Saccharomyces cerevisiae S288C: one gene and its partners. The gene in region 3 interacts genetically with the main gene of each other region. Each region holds a gene or a part of one and is shown on either strand. Other genes may lie near its edges.

Evidence for each region. A genetic interaction does not mean that the proteins touch.
Region 1: mutations in HDA1 (region 3) and RIM20 impair growth when combined (synthetic growth defect), as found in Saccharomyces cerevisiae (5 studies listed by BioGRID, with this or other methods).
Region 2: mutations in HDA1 (region 3) and RIM101 together harm fitness more than expected from each alone (negative genetic interaction), as found in Saccharomyces cerevisiae (4 studies listed by BioGRID, with this or other methods).

The regions. Positions count from the first base shown.
Region 1 is NC_001147.6:838,584-842,778, forward strand, and holds RIM20 (Rim20p), read right to left. Parts: upstream 2,487-4,195; coding exon 501-2,486; downstream 1-500. Other genes in the region: MOD5 (tRNA dimethylallyltransferase), read left to right, coding at 1-377; CAF20 (Caf20p), read left to right, coding at 2,750-3,235. UniProt on the Saccharomyces cerevisiae protein: Required for the proteolytic cleavage of the transcriptional repressor RIM101 in response to alkaline ambient pH, which is necessary for sporulation and invasive growth.
Region 2 is NC_001140.6:49,357-53,488, reverse strand, and holds RIM101 (alkaline-responsive transcriptional regulator RIM101), read right to left. Parts: upstream 2,379-4,132; coding exon 501-2,378; downstream 1-500. Other genes in the region: YHL026C (uncharacterized protein), read left to right, coding at 1-270; WSC4 (Wsc4p), read right to left, coding at 2,909-4,132. UniProt on the Saccharomyces cerevisiae protein: Transcription factor that mediates regulation of both acid- and alkaline-expressed genes in response to ambient pH.
Region 3 is NC_001146.8:590,752-596,742, reverse strand, and holds HDA1 (histone deacetylase HDA1), read right to left. Parts: upstream 3,517-5,991; coding exon 1,396-3,516; downstream 1-1,395. Other genes in the region: serine/threonine protein kinase ARK1, read left to right, coding at 1-1,120; rRNA (cytosine-C5-)-methyltransferase RCM1, read left to right, coding at 3,844-5,316; FAP1 (Fap1p), read left to right, coding at 5,583-5,991. UniProt on the Saccharomyces cerevisiae protein: Responsible for the deacetylation of lysine residues on the N-terminal part of the core histones (H2A, H2B, H3 and H4).

The sequences.
Region 1 (4,195 bases), on a different chromosome or scaffold from region 3:
TGATACCTGACATCAAAGGCGATATATACTTACTGGATGCCACTGACCTTTCTCAATGGGACACGAATGCATCTCAAAGAGCGATAGCTATTTCCAATGACTTTATTAGCAATCGACCCATCAAGCAAGAAAGGGCACCTAAAGCCCTAGAGGAGCTGTTGTCTAAAGGCGAAACTACGATGAAGAAATTGGACGATTGGACACATTATACTTGCAACGTCTGTCGTAACGCAGATGGTAAGAACGTTGTAGCTATTGGCGAAAAATATTGGAAAATTCATTTGGGTAGCAGAAGACATAAATCCAACTTGAAAAGAAACACTCGTCAAGCTGATTTTGAAAAATGGAAAATAAACAAGAAGGAGACTGTGGAATGAAAATATTAGGAAAAAGGAGTTTATCCTGAGTGTATATATCTACATAAGTGAAGCTGGGTTTTGATAATGGAAAGGGAGGATGACAAGCTCAAAATATACTTTATAGATGAATGAGGACAGGTATCATTGGTCTTCAAATGTCAAACTCTTATCAAGCCTAGCTTTTTCTGCTCTTCTTGCTGTATCATATTCCTGTACCTCATTGTACAGATTGCTGGTAGAAGTAATTAAATTTTCGTAAAATGCTGTGCCGGCACTTAAATTTTCTTTCACCTCATCAAGCAGTTTGAAGGAATATCTCAGATCTTCAATATATAGCTCTCTGGGATCTATTCTTACCATTTTCTTTGGTTCAATCCCGCTTCTGCCGGGGTTATTCTTCTTACTTAGGTTTACTTCCTCAATAAGTTTGATATTTTCTTCCTTTGTACTATTAACGTATCTTAAATCTTCGTCAAAGTATTTTAAATGGCCTATGAAAATGGGTTCAAAGTCGACTGTTCCATTTTTTTTATACGATGTAATGATCTTTGGAAGTATTCTATATTCTGAAGATTTCCGCCTCGTCCTATCAATATAATCATTTCTTTCCTGTATGATCATCTTAATCTTATTCGTTAGAGGATCATTAGATTCCGGTAACCTGATCTCTGATCCAATCAAATTTTTATCGATGCTTTGAAATAGTTCATTTGTTTGTTTGTCAATCGCACTACCTTCATCAAGGTATCCTCTCAGCTTTTTTAGTTTTTCATAATATGCTGTGTTAGTAGTTGAAGATTCGGGTAAAGTCCAATTTAAGGTTCCGTGTTTTAGTCGGAGCTGATTGTCAGTAAATGCTTCTTCATTTAAAATTTGCTCAATGTTATCGAGTTGTACCTGCACATTTTTATTATTAATGAGAAGATTATTCAGTGATGCCTGGTAATGACTCAGTTCTGCTTCACTCACCTTTGTAAGCCCTTGTGGTATTTGGAAAGTAGTCAAGGACTCCTTCAATAGTTTATTTAGGGAAGCAAGGGGATTGGTAACACGTTGTTCAACGTATTCATCTTGCCTTTCATTGTATGCTGTGCAATATTCCATCACTTCTATAGGGATTAGGTCTTTGAATAAAGTCTCATCCTTTTTAATAGAAGGCAACAATGTTGCTGAAGAAGATGGTTTAACCATGAGAGCTGGTTTGATCGATGGTAATTCCGAAGGAACTTCTTGTAAGTAGATGAATTCATTGTCTCTTTGGGCTTCTTTCAGAGAAGATTCGACAACAGTTTTAAACTTAGCTTGCGAAGATAGTGTTGATTCATTTATAAATTGCAATCCCATTTGCAGAGCTTTCACAACATTTCCGAACTGCTTCTTCTCATTAAAAGATAAGGCTATTCTGTAATAAGTCACCGCACTAAAGTAAGCCTTTTTAGCCTTTAAGTGGTTTATCCAATCACTTCTAATAAGTTTCCCCCTTTGGGCGTCATTAATAGCCTCGCAGTAGAAGTCCACGATCTGTTGTGACAACTTCGCGATTAAGGAGTCCTTGTGTTTATCTTGCACGGCTTTAAACCAGAAGCATTCTTGCGCTTGTGCTAGCATCAGGGAGGTTAAAGCGTTCAATGTGGCGTCATCTACCACTGGGATTGTCTCAAGATTTTTTTGGTGGTCTAAAACATGTTTAAAGCATCCGGCGGCATTCTGGAAGTACAGACATGACGTTTTGAGGGATTCGGCTGCATCATTGTTGCTATTTAGAGCCAACAGTGAATACATGCAACCAATATTATAAATAATGGTTAATTTTTCCCATTGTAATGAGTATTGACTAGTACCACGAGATTTTTGTGATAGCGTTTGAAACCATGTAAATTCTATTTGATTATTGGGAAACTTTTTCTCTAATTGCAACAATATTACATAGTATTCCTTCAGTGCAGAAAGACCGTCGATTGAGATATCGGGTGCAATCGCATTGTTTCTTGCATCAACAACTTTGAGTATGTCTGATTGGAAAAAGGATGCCGTTTGAAAGGAAGTAGTATCAATTAGTTTTGACAACTCCGTGGCAAAGTCCACTTCTAAAGTTCGCTTAAGTGGAATGGCAAGCAGTTCACTCATGTCACACTGCCTGGATCTCCATAGATAATAATACTCTCTCTGCAAGGGTATAGTAGTGTTTTAATAAGGCTTTATAGTCCCTTTTCTTATGCTATATTATAAAGCCGGGTAGTAGCGAGGCTTGAATATCTCTTTTCCTGGACGAAAAATAGTGAAAAATTGGAAAAAGTATTTGGCGTAAAGCATATTCTACCGATTGCGATAGACATTATTTGAGCTGTAACCTGAATATAGGATTAAGAACTTTTATTTAATTTCACGACATGATCAAGTATACTATCGATGAGCTTTTTCAACTGAAGCCAAGTTTAACTTTGGAAGTTAATTTCGATGCGGTGGAATTTAGAGCCATCATTGAAAAAGTTAAGCAATTGCAACACTTGAAAGAGGAAGAGTTTAACAGTCATCATGTTGGTCATTTCGGTCGTAGAAGATCTTCCCACCATCATGGTAGACCAAAGATTAAGCACAACAAGCCTAAGGTTACAACCGATTCAGATGGTTGGTGCACATTTGAAGCCAAGAAGAAGGGTAGTGGAGAAGATGATGAAGAAGAAACAGAAACCACACCAACTTCTACTGTGCCAGTTGCTACCATTGCCCAAGAAACTTTAAAAGTCAAGCCAAATAACAAAAATATTTCTTCCAACAGACCTGCTGATACCAGAGATATTGTTGCGGACAAGCCAATTCTTGGTTTCAACGCATTTGCTGCTTTGGAAAGTGAAGACGAAGACGACGAAGCATAAGTCATTCGCTCATGCTTTCTTCAGGCAGCTGTACGTGTACTATGTATAAATTTTGAATAACATTTTTTTTAATAAACAGTTTTTACTCTTTTAGGTTACTTTCCAGATTGAAAATATACAACGTGGTTACATAAAGAAATTAAAATGTAGAACGAATCATGACCAACTGTATCAGGTGTTTAAAAAGGCGAGGTGAAAGAGAAAGGCTTCCCCCTCTAATATCAACAGCTGGAGATACATCTTTCTAATAATTAATCTACCATGAGCCGTACGCACTGAAGCAACGCCCATCAAACATCCGAAGCCACATTATGAGTACAAAAGAGGCTGACGTTAATAGGAACTCATGGTGTAATTTTGCTTCACTTTTCTGAATTCAAATGGAAATAGAAGTAAAAATGGGCAGAAAAGTTACCTCATGCTTTAAATATACTCAACTTTTCTCTACCGACAGTAGGAGCCCTAAGAGATAAAGCGAAAAATTTTCACAGCGCGCTCCTTGGTGCGGCGAGGGTATAAAAGGCGATTTCATTTCAATTCTTTGAACTTACTTCATTTGCAGGATCCTTCAGGATAAGAAAACCATCATTCAATAAACTGATCTTCCGGATTACCATGCTTAAGACATCACGCCTCCATATGTCTATATAAAGCGCAAATGGCTGGAAGTAGACCAATTTTTTTTGTTCCTAGCTTTTCATTATTGAAATCTAATCCAGTTTTAATGGTTTTTCTTAATTAAGAAAACAAATTATCATTGGTTCGCTCTAGGTGTACATATCTTCACTTCATTACTCTCTTGTTTACATTGTATACATCGTACATATACTTCAATTATGGAAATACCATAAATTCTCTTAGTGTGTAGTTCACTAGTTTTTGGGGTTGGGTTGTGCTGTAGTCAGCTAAGGCGCTTTAGTGAACTTTCTAGTGAGTTTTTTGAATTTTAGTGTCAAAGGA
Region 2 (4,132 bases), on a different chromosome or scaffold from region 3:
GGGTCCCACGACTACTACTTCAACGATTATCCACTACCGCAGGTCATGAAGTTGATTTATGCCGTTGTAATTGCCTTTGTATGCACTCCAGTGGCCATCATCGTCATTGTGTTGAGAAACCAGTTTCACGAGGAACTTTACTATGAAGGCTTAGCAAACGGTACGCTACAGCAGGATCAAGAAGTTTGCTCCACGGGTAATCGCAGCTCGGGATCAACCGATCAAGATATCAGTACTACCAAACAACAGTCTCAAGAAGCGGTAGCGTGAAGAAAAGCAACAAAAAAATAAAAGCATGTGCGAACTCTAGTTTAATACTTAATAAACTATTAATACTTTACAATTAGCAATCTATAATATACCCACCTTAACAAATAATTTTTCCTTTAACCATTGTTACCTTGTTTAATCCGCGACGCCGCGCTAGGGCATGTGTGATTTATTCATTTACTATACAGCCGCAAAGAAACAACTAAGAATAAAATATCCGACAATCCATATCATACCAAAATTTTGGGATACTTGGTCAAGATGCGAACTGAGTTAGTTCCCATTTGGTTTTGTAAACTCAATTTTTCTAAAGATTCTTGCAAGAATGCGTTTTCTTCATCTTTGTCCTCACTTTCTTCATCATCTAAATCTTCCATGACACAGCACAACAAGTAGTCCTTGATAATGTTCACTATACCCAACATCTCTACGAAATCATCCTCTATCTCGCTTTCGTCATCTACTTCTTCAATCGCCAGCTTACTCATGATAATATCATTAGTACAGCTTTTTTGGTTCAGGCTAAATTCCCAGTTAGGCTTCAATGAAGTTCCACCTGCCATTGTACGGCGCGATGGTAACATTGGTATCTTTGATTGTAGAGGCGGTAATATAGAACAGCCACTGGAGGAATAGCTAGGCGCAGCACGAACAGATGGATAGTGTGGCATAGCATACTGTGATTGGCGGTTGAAAACACCACCGGCAGTGTTCGAATGTAAAGGTGGCAAATGTTCAGTAAGCGAAGGACCAGTTGGATACTTGGCCAACCGTACTGGCACATAAGTTGCTGTATTTGCAGTGGCCGAAATAGAGCTACCACCTTGTACGGATTGGTATGAAGGAGCATTAGGTGGCTGCACATAGCTTGTTTGTGCTACGGGGATGCGCCCAGATGATGACGAGGACTCAGTACTACCACCGCTTTGTTGCAAAATGTAGTTATTTGTCATATTTCTCGATAGTTTGGTGAAGAATTGGGTGGCGTTTGCTATGGTCTTATTAGAACAACCGTCCTCGTAGACATTCATGCTCCGACTGTTGGCACCTTGGCTTACCGTGCTGCCGTTATTGTAGTATAATGGCGGCAAGATCGTTTGCAATCTGGCACTCAATTGTGGAGAATATACCGGCTTATACTGAGATAGCTCGTCTGAGCATAGTTGGTTTAAGGAAATAGCCCGCTGCTGCTGTTGTGAAGGCAGATGTTGAGATATACCCACGGGCAATGGGGGTAATATCTGTGGAGAAGTAGAATGTGACTTAAAGCTACCAGCTATAGCGGAAGGCACAGATGCAGAACAAGACGACACTGCGTCGCTTGCACAACTTTTGTTTTTCTTAGAAGTTCTTTTTGAGCCCCATTTGGGTCCCCTCTTTCTTTTCAAAATACCGCCACTTTCCAGATGAATTTTCAAATGCTTTTTTAAATCTTGCGGACGTTTAAACTTTTTGGAGCACGTAGAGCAACCGAACGGTTTCAATGGTACGTGAACTCTCAAATGCGAGGTGATATGGTCCCTTTTCTCCGTCTTCGTGGTACAGTCTCCCCAATGACAATTCAATTGTAGGTTCTTATGTGACTTCCTGCCAACATGGTCATGACACAGATGATTATATAGCAGCTCTGGTTGGTTGAAAATCATACCACAGTTGTCCCATTTACAATATAGTGTTATATCCTCAGAATCACCGTCATTATCCGCATCGTCGTCATCACCTGCCGGGTTATGCGCTTGTGCCAATGGCGAGGAGGAGGACGAGTCAGAGGAAGATGATGTGGTGGGTGAAACTGCCGAAGCGCCCAATAGATCGTATGGAGGAGTGTTCAAGTGTGAAGTACTATGATATGGTAAGCATGATGAAGAAGTGCTGCCTGGTGACATCCGTTCATCTTCTTGACCGTTCAAGCCAATAGCTTCCGTGGTACACCTAATTCTAGGCCTCTTCGAACAATCAGAAGACCTTTTAGATAGGTTAGGACTGGGCAGCCCGTCCTTCTTTGTGACGTTAGAAACGTCTGTCCCATTTTCTACTATACTCTCCCGGCTGTGTTGAGGTGCGGCAGTGCCATTTTCTTTATTAAGCAGATCTTCCAATGGCACCATCTTAAGTCAATTTAAACAAACCTACTTTACCGTTTTCAGTATTTTATCTTTGCACTTGTTCAAAAAGTGTTGTGCAATAGCAATATTACTTTCTCAGTGGAAGTGATAACAGACCAATAAAAAAAAAAAAGGTTATAGACGGTGACTCTTATGAAAACATTTAGTTCCTTTCTATATTATTGAGTCTTAATTTTTTATCTTTTGTCTCGTAGATTGGCATCCCTCACCCGTCTGAAATGATTTTATAAGCCTCCGTCATCTCGGACGTAATTTTAGAAACTCCGAGCTGGACGGCTATTTTATTTTCTGCGCCGTAATCTGTGAATCACAGAGAATGTCTCGCACGAACGCGGTATTTAGATTATTGTGCCTGCTGTCACTGGGCAGAGAAAAGTATGTACAAGATAACAGCGTTATTGTCGTAAAGCATTCTTTTGAGAACATTCGAAGGAAAAAAACAAAGTTCAGAATTAAAATTATGTATGTATTATCGTTCGTGGAATATTTATTACGTATAAGAGCTGCAGTCTTTATTCGTTCATTAGCCGCAGAACCCTCCTGGAGTAGTCTACGTTGTCTGATAACGAAATGGTAGAGTGGTTTGTGGCATCGTCATTTGCTAAAGTGTTAAGCATCTTACTTGGGTCTAGCCTCTGATCCACCAGTACCGTGTCTTCACCTAGAGTAACGTTTGATTCCATTTTTTCGTGTTGCTTTTGAATGGGCGAATGAAGAAAAGTAGAAGTTCTTCTGGGAAGAATGGGATCGTGAAATGGGCTTGCCAACGTGCTTGGGTCATTTGGTGGACTGCCTGCAGTCAAGGAATACGTAGATTGACGTGGGGATGGTGATTCAGACATAATTTGTCCCTTTTCATCAGTGTATATTAATCTTGGGGTCGAGAAAGTTGAATTTGAAGATGGTGAAGGCGTGTGTAACGTGGTAGTGGTAACTTCATTTGGGTACTTGGACTGGTAAAACTTACTCTGATATTCATTCTCAAAATCTTGAGCCTTCCGAGCGGGTCTTGTTCTATAATGATGTATTAAGTATATTAGTATGCATATAATTACCAAACATACCACTCCAACCACGACGAAAGTAGCGGCTATTTTCCCGGGCGAATCCCAGTACCCTTTCTTTTCTGTAGACTTGTTAGTTGGTGTATTGCTGTTGGTGGTGTTACTATTGTTATTGTTTGTTATTCTACCACCTACGCTGGCAGACGTAGTAGCCACTGCAGAAGTAGGAGTAGCCCCGAGGGTGGAAGAGTAAATCTGCGTTATTACTTTTTTCATGGTGAGATATCTCGAGGTGATTTCCGAAATGTTAGTGTCCATGGTGTGCACTGAAGTCACTGTTATCACAGAATACTTTAAGGAGGTCTGCAGGTTTACAGAAGTTATAGTGGACGTTATTGGAGATGCTGTGGTACTGGTGTAAGTAACCGTAGTGCTTGAAGGGGCTGTACTGGGTGATGTCGTAGTGAACGTTGTGCTCGTTGGTGTTGTATTAGACGAGCTTGTAGGTGCTGAAGAAGAAGTTGGCGATGTTGTACTTGTTGAAGTGGAAGTTGACGACGTCGTGCTTGTAGAAATGGGGGCTGACGATGTTGTGGTTGGAGTTGATGATGATGATGATGATGTGCTCGTGGAAATGAGGGTTGACGACGTAGTACTTGTGGTGGTAGATGTTGATGATGTGACACTTACGGTCGTAGAAGTCGACGATGAGGTACTTGTGGTGGTAGAGGT
Region 3 (5,991 bases):
CTACAGTGAACAGTTGAAAGGCTTAATACGTGATATATTGGTTCAAGATCCGCGCCATAGGCCTAACGTTTATCAACTACTGAAGAGGATATCAATTATGCAAAATGTTCCGTGTCCAATAAATGACATACAAGTGGTTCAGGCGCCCAGTAGCCATTTGAATTTGACCGAACTTCATCAGCTTTCGGCAACACAAAATATTCTAAGCTTGAACTCTCCCACAACCATGGAAAATACGATGCCGAACGCTACATTTCAAATCAGCATGGCTGATAATACTACAACAGCACAAATGCATCCTAATAGAAAACCATCACAAATAGCATATGACGCTAGCTTCAGTAATTCCGCCAAAGGTTCTCAACCACTTTTTGACAAATCACAGAATATGTACCACGCATTGGATCCTCCACTTGTTGAACCGCTAGCGAGTAGTGTTTCAAATAATGACAACGAACTCAAGGCAAATTCCGCAACCAAGTTAAAGCAGGCAATTGTCTCTGAAGCACATACTTTTAGGCAGAATAATTCAATAGACTTTCCACTACAAAACATAATACCCCAGTACGAAGATTCTTCTTCCTCTTCAGATGAATCTTATTCTGGAGACGTAGATGAATTAAAGAAAACTCGATCTCTAGGTTCTTATTCCACACGCGGTAACATAAAAAAAAACCAATCCGTAAAGGAATCTCTTACTTCATCAAGCCTACCAGGCACTAGCTTCACCCCAACGTCTACAAAGGTAAATTTGAAACACGAAAATTCACCTTTTAAGTCGACATTCGTTAATACGATTGATAATTCCAAAGACGATCTTAACAAACCATCTTATGAAGATTTGGACGTATCTAAGCAGAATTTGAAGAACTCCATTCAACAGCGTATGATCGATAAACTCAACTCTTCTGAGGAGTCATTCAACGCTAGGAAAATGTCCAAGGTCAAGCTGCATGAGAAAGGGGAGATAGATAAGCCAACAATGCTGAAATCAAGTGGCCCGATTTCAAAAGACAAAAAAACAAAACCTACCCCACCACCTAAGCCTTCACATTTAAAGCCTAAACCTCCTCCAAAACCACTGCTCCTCGCGGGACGAAAGTTATCCTTGGATAAGTGAGTATTTGGCTCAACAGAACCGGATCGATCTCTGAAGAGGCTGGTAACATGTTCAAAGAACCTTTATTACAATGTGTTATATATGTAAGCATCCACTTTAATGTATACGTTTTCCCATAATACTTAGTAAAACACAGCTTAATGCATTTGTTCATTTCTTTTTCCTATTTTAGATATATTGGATTATACAATGAACATTGTAACAACTTTATTATTATTCAACTTTCATAAGGCATGAAGGTTGCCGAAAAAAAATTATTAATGGCCAGTTTTTCCTCATTCTTCATCACTCCATTCTTCAAACGAATCCAGTATAAAGTCTGTAGCCTCTTCAAATCTTTCTTCAATTATATTGTTTAACCCGTCCGTATCACATCTCAAAACTCTACCGAATTTTTTTCTTGGTTTTCTGCTTTCATTTTCTTTCCAGCATTGGTGGCTATTGTTTGAAAATATAAGTGAGTTTTTGAAGTACCATTCACTCAATGTTTCATCTACTAGAGGAACTAGTGGCTTTAACTGCTTGTCTCCCAAGAAATTAATTACCGTTTTAGTAACAGCCCTAGTATCCCTGTGACCAAGCAGATGTACGATACCTGAGTATGAGTCTCCTATTCCAATAAAAGCAATTTTGGCAACAGAAGGAAAATACTTGATGTAGTTATCCCATAAATATATTAGAACTTCTTGGGATGTAATCATTCCTGAGTAATTGTCAGGTTCAAACAGAGTTAGAGGTATATTTACATCAATGATGCCGTATTTCCTGTCAAGTCCCCATTTGATAAAGTCTAGAGAATTATCAATGATAACTGATGAGGATAAGTCAATTGTACCTGAAATAACATTTCTCTTTGCCCAGATATCAGAAGTATCATGAACGACTATAATTATAGTGTTAGATTCGGAAATGTTTGGAGTACATAGCACTGTATTATCTGGTAAATCCATGCTTACTAACGGTAAAGTAACGAAATTAAATTCGTCGCTTAAATAGTGTTGCTGTTGTTGACGAATAGCCTTCTGCAGAGGAAAATTTTTAGATATTATCGAGTCGTTAATAGGTTCGTTAAAATTACAACCGGAGTTAGCATGTCTCCTTCTAAAACAGTTCCAATACTTGGACTGTAACCGAATTACTTTGTCTATCATTTCTATGACCTCAGGCTTGGGATCACTTAATGGATCAGGTAGTTCATCAGGAGGCTCCCCTATTAGTACTTTTGCTACACTCAAAGCGCTTCTTGCAATCGCATCCAAGTTATATCCACCTTCCAAAACTACACAAAGATTACCTCTAGCTAGAGATTTTAACATATGTGTCATGTGTCCATAACAACTTGGGGTGACATGACATTGTCCGATAGTATCACCATCCGCGGCATCAAACCCTGAAGAAATAATCACCAAGTCAGGCTTGAATTCTCTCCCCATAGGCATAACTACCTGTTCAAATGCCCACATATATTCTGCATCACCAACACCGCCGACCGGCCAAGTAATATTACAATTGAATCCTTCACCCTTACCCTCACCAGTTTGATCATATTGTCCTTGGATGGTCCCAGGATAGTATTTACCCATTTCAAATCTGTGTAATGACACATATAGCACCTGATCGTCTTGATAGAATGACTTTTGTGTGCCATTACCATGATGAATATCCCAATCTAAAATCATTATCCTTCTTACACTTTCTGGGTAGTTCTTTAAGATATTCTTGGCAGCAACAGCAACATTACTGAAGAGACAAAAACCACCCGCAGCTTGAGGCTCTGCATGATGGCCAGGTGGTCTTACGACAGCTAGAGAGTTTTTTACACGCCCCTCGACAACCGCCTTGCATGCTTCAATGGCGCCACCACAAGGCAGCCTAGCACTCGCGTAAGAATCATTATTGAAATATACGGAATCACCTTTTTCAGTCTCTTTTAATAACTCTTCTCGGCTCATTTTTTCTGTGCTTTCAATAAACTCTAAATGTTCCTTTGTATGAACTTCCAAGATTTCTTCGGAGGTTGCGGCTCTTACAGGTATCTTCAGCATTAAATCACCAAGGTCATCCACGCCGCTTAAAGTGGGGTCGTTAATCAGACCATTCTCTGCTAGTATTTTATAAATACGATATATTCTTCTTGGGTCCTCTGGATGTGGATCAATGTACTCGAAGTACGATGTGAAAATCTTTGCATGATACCTCATTCTAACGTCATAGCAAAGACCAGTTTTCAGCGGTGAATAATGGATTTTTGGCATGCAAACGGGAACAATAACCTGCCTTTTACTTTTAGAAGTAGTAGAGAGGCTATTCTCTTCTTCTTTGTTCTCTTCTAGCTTTCTTTTTAAATCATGGTCTGGATTTTCCAGTACTTCTTTCTTAACCATTACAGAATCCATGCTTAATCTGTTCGGCGTATTACAGTGCTCAACTTTCCCTTTCTCAATATTTTGTTATGTGAATTAGGTCACTAAAAATTAAAACATTTAAGAAAAATAAAAGTTCCTTCCACAGACGAAACACTGTATATGCTTCCTCCCAGCTCTATTTACCTAATTAGTGACCTGATTAAACTTTTGGAAAGAAGCATTTTCCTCGAGATTTCCAAACGGTGCGGGAAAATGGCAAGTGAGGAAAAAAAAAACTGGCCTAAAATATTCGATGAGGTTAAGAGAAGAGCTGGTTCTTCACCAAGTGTTTCACTGAGAAGTTAGCTACGAAAAAGCATGAATTTCTACAGGGATGCAACATGGGTGCTAGAAGATATTGAGAAGGAGGCTGCAAAAGAAAGGATTTCCGGCTCTATGCAGACGCTGGTACTGAAAAGCTGTAAAAGATATAAGCTGAAAAGTAATCCAAAACATATTTATGCAGTTCTCGATTCGTGTTGGAAATATAAACCATATTTGGAGAAAGTGATGAAAAAGGCACACATATTGGAAGATATACCCAAGAAAAAGGGCAAACCACTCTTTTCAAGGCTAACTTTGTTATTGCTTTGCCATGATTTGCTGTTGTCTAAGCAGAAAAGAATTCAAATGGGCAAACACCCCATCAAAGATTATGTTTTGAAGTTTAAGAGCCCATTGCATAGCGAAATGGTCAAATTGAAACTCAAATTGAAAGTAAGAGAGCTATCTGAGTTGGTATTAAGCGAGGATATTTCCAATGACCTTCCTCCTGTTAGATGGATTAGAATCAATCCATTAAAATGCCATCCAAATGGTGAGACTGAGCCGGTGTTAGCCGAATTGAGGAAGAAGTTTACTTTAAAGGTAGACAAATGGTCTGAACTAGTTCCTGGGTCTATCTATTATGATGAGTTTATTCCAAACTTGTTTGGAATTCATCCGTCTGACAAAATTACAGCACATGAGCTTTATAAGCATGGGAAGATTATCATTCAAGATCGTGCTTCTTGTTTTCCAGCCCACATTTTGAATCCAGGACCAAGTGATATTGTGATAGATTCCTGCTCTGCTCCAGGTAATAAGACTACCCATACGGCCTCTTATATATATCCCGAACCACCGAAGGACAATAATACTCGAATATACGCTTTCGAGAAGGATCCTGAAAGAGCAAAAGTTTTACAAAAAATGATCAAGATAGCTGGCTGTTCTCCCAACATCAGTGTCAATGTAGGTGATTTTACAAAGCTCGCTACTCCTGAAAAATATAAGGACGTTACTTGTTTTATTGTAGATCCGAGCTGCTCCGGTAGCGGTATATTTGGTCGTAAGTTTTTTGACTCATTTAATAGAAGGAAAATTGATGATAAAGATGACGATGGTGGCATTGTGCCGGATGAGCAAGAGGAGTTTATAGCAAAGGAAGAACTACAGACAAGGTTAGCGAAGCTGAGTTCATTTCAGTTCCAGATGGTAAAGCATGCAATGAGTTTCCCAGCGGCTAAAAAAATAGTATACAGCACATGTTCCATTCATGCGGAAGAAAATGAACGAGTCGTCATAGACCTTCTTTTAGATAAGTCAGTTAGAGAATGGGGTTGGAAAGTAGCGCCAAAAAGAGAAGTTATTCCTTCTTGGCCTAGAAGAGGCAAGGTAGAAGAGTTCGAAGAGGTTTTTAGAGATGGAGTCACCTATGACCCTCAACAGCTTGCCGAGGGTTGTATCAGGGCACTACCAAAAAGTGACGGTGGTATTGGTTTCTTTGCTGTCTGTTTTGAAAGAGATTAAACTTTCAGAACATTCATGTATATATGTGTATATCTGATATGTATTATTGCATTTTTGCTGTAGTACTACGGAAAAGACATTTCAATAATCTATACATCCCGCACATAAAGGAAGATTTTCGGGTAATATACTATTATAAAAATTATCGATGAGCTCTGTGAAAAGGTCGTAAATATAAAAGTTCTTTCTTGCGACAGTGGCAACAACCAAGTGAAACAGCGTGAGACGAGACTGCTCTAATCTATTTGCAGTCGTAGGCATTACAAATGACCGAACATGAGTCTTTAGGCCTGGAGCAAAATCAAGACGGCGGTGACACTTATAGACATCACAACCTAAGCGATGGGTGTATTTCGAGTGTTGAAGACGCCAACGAGCAGCCTAGTTCGTATGAAGAGGAAAGTGATGATGATATGCAATATTACGAACGTGCGATCCAGGAAATTTCTAGCGGTGACTCATATGTTTGTATGATTTGTACAGTAGAGATGGATTATACGTGCCAAATGTTTGCTTGCAAGAGATGTTATAGAGTGTTTGATTACGGATGCATAAGAGAATGGGCGTTAAAATCAACGGAAAAAACCGTAGATAGAATATGGAAATGTCCAAACTGCTATTATGTTAGCAAAAGAGTTCCGGTAAAAAATCGGCCCACATGTTGGTGCGGTAAAG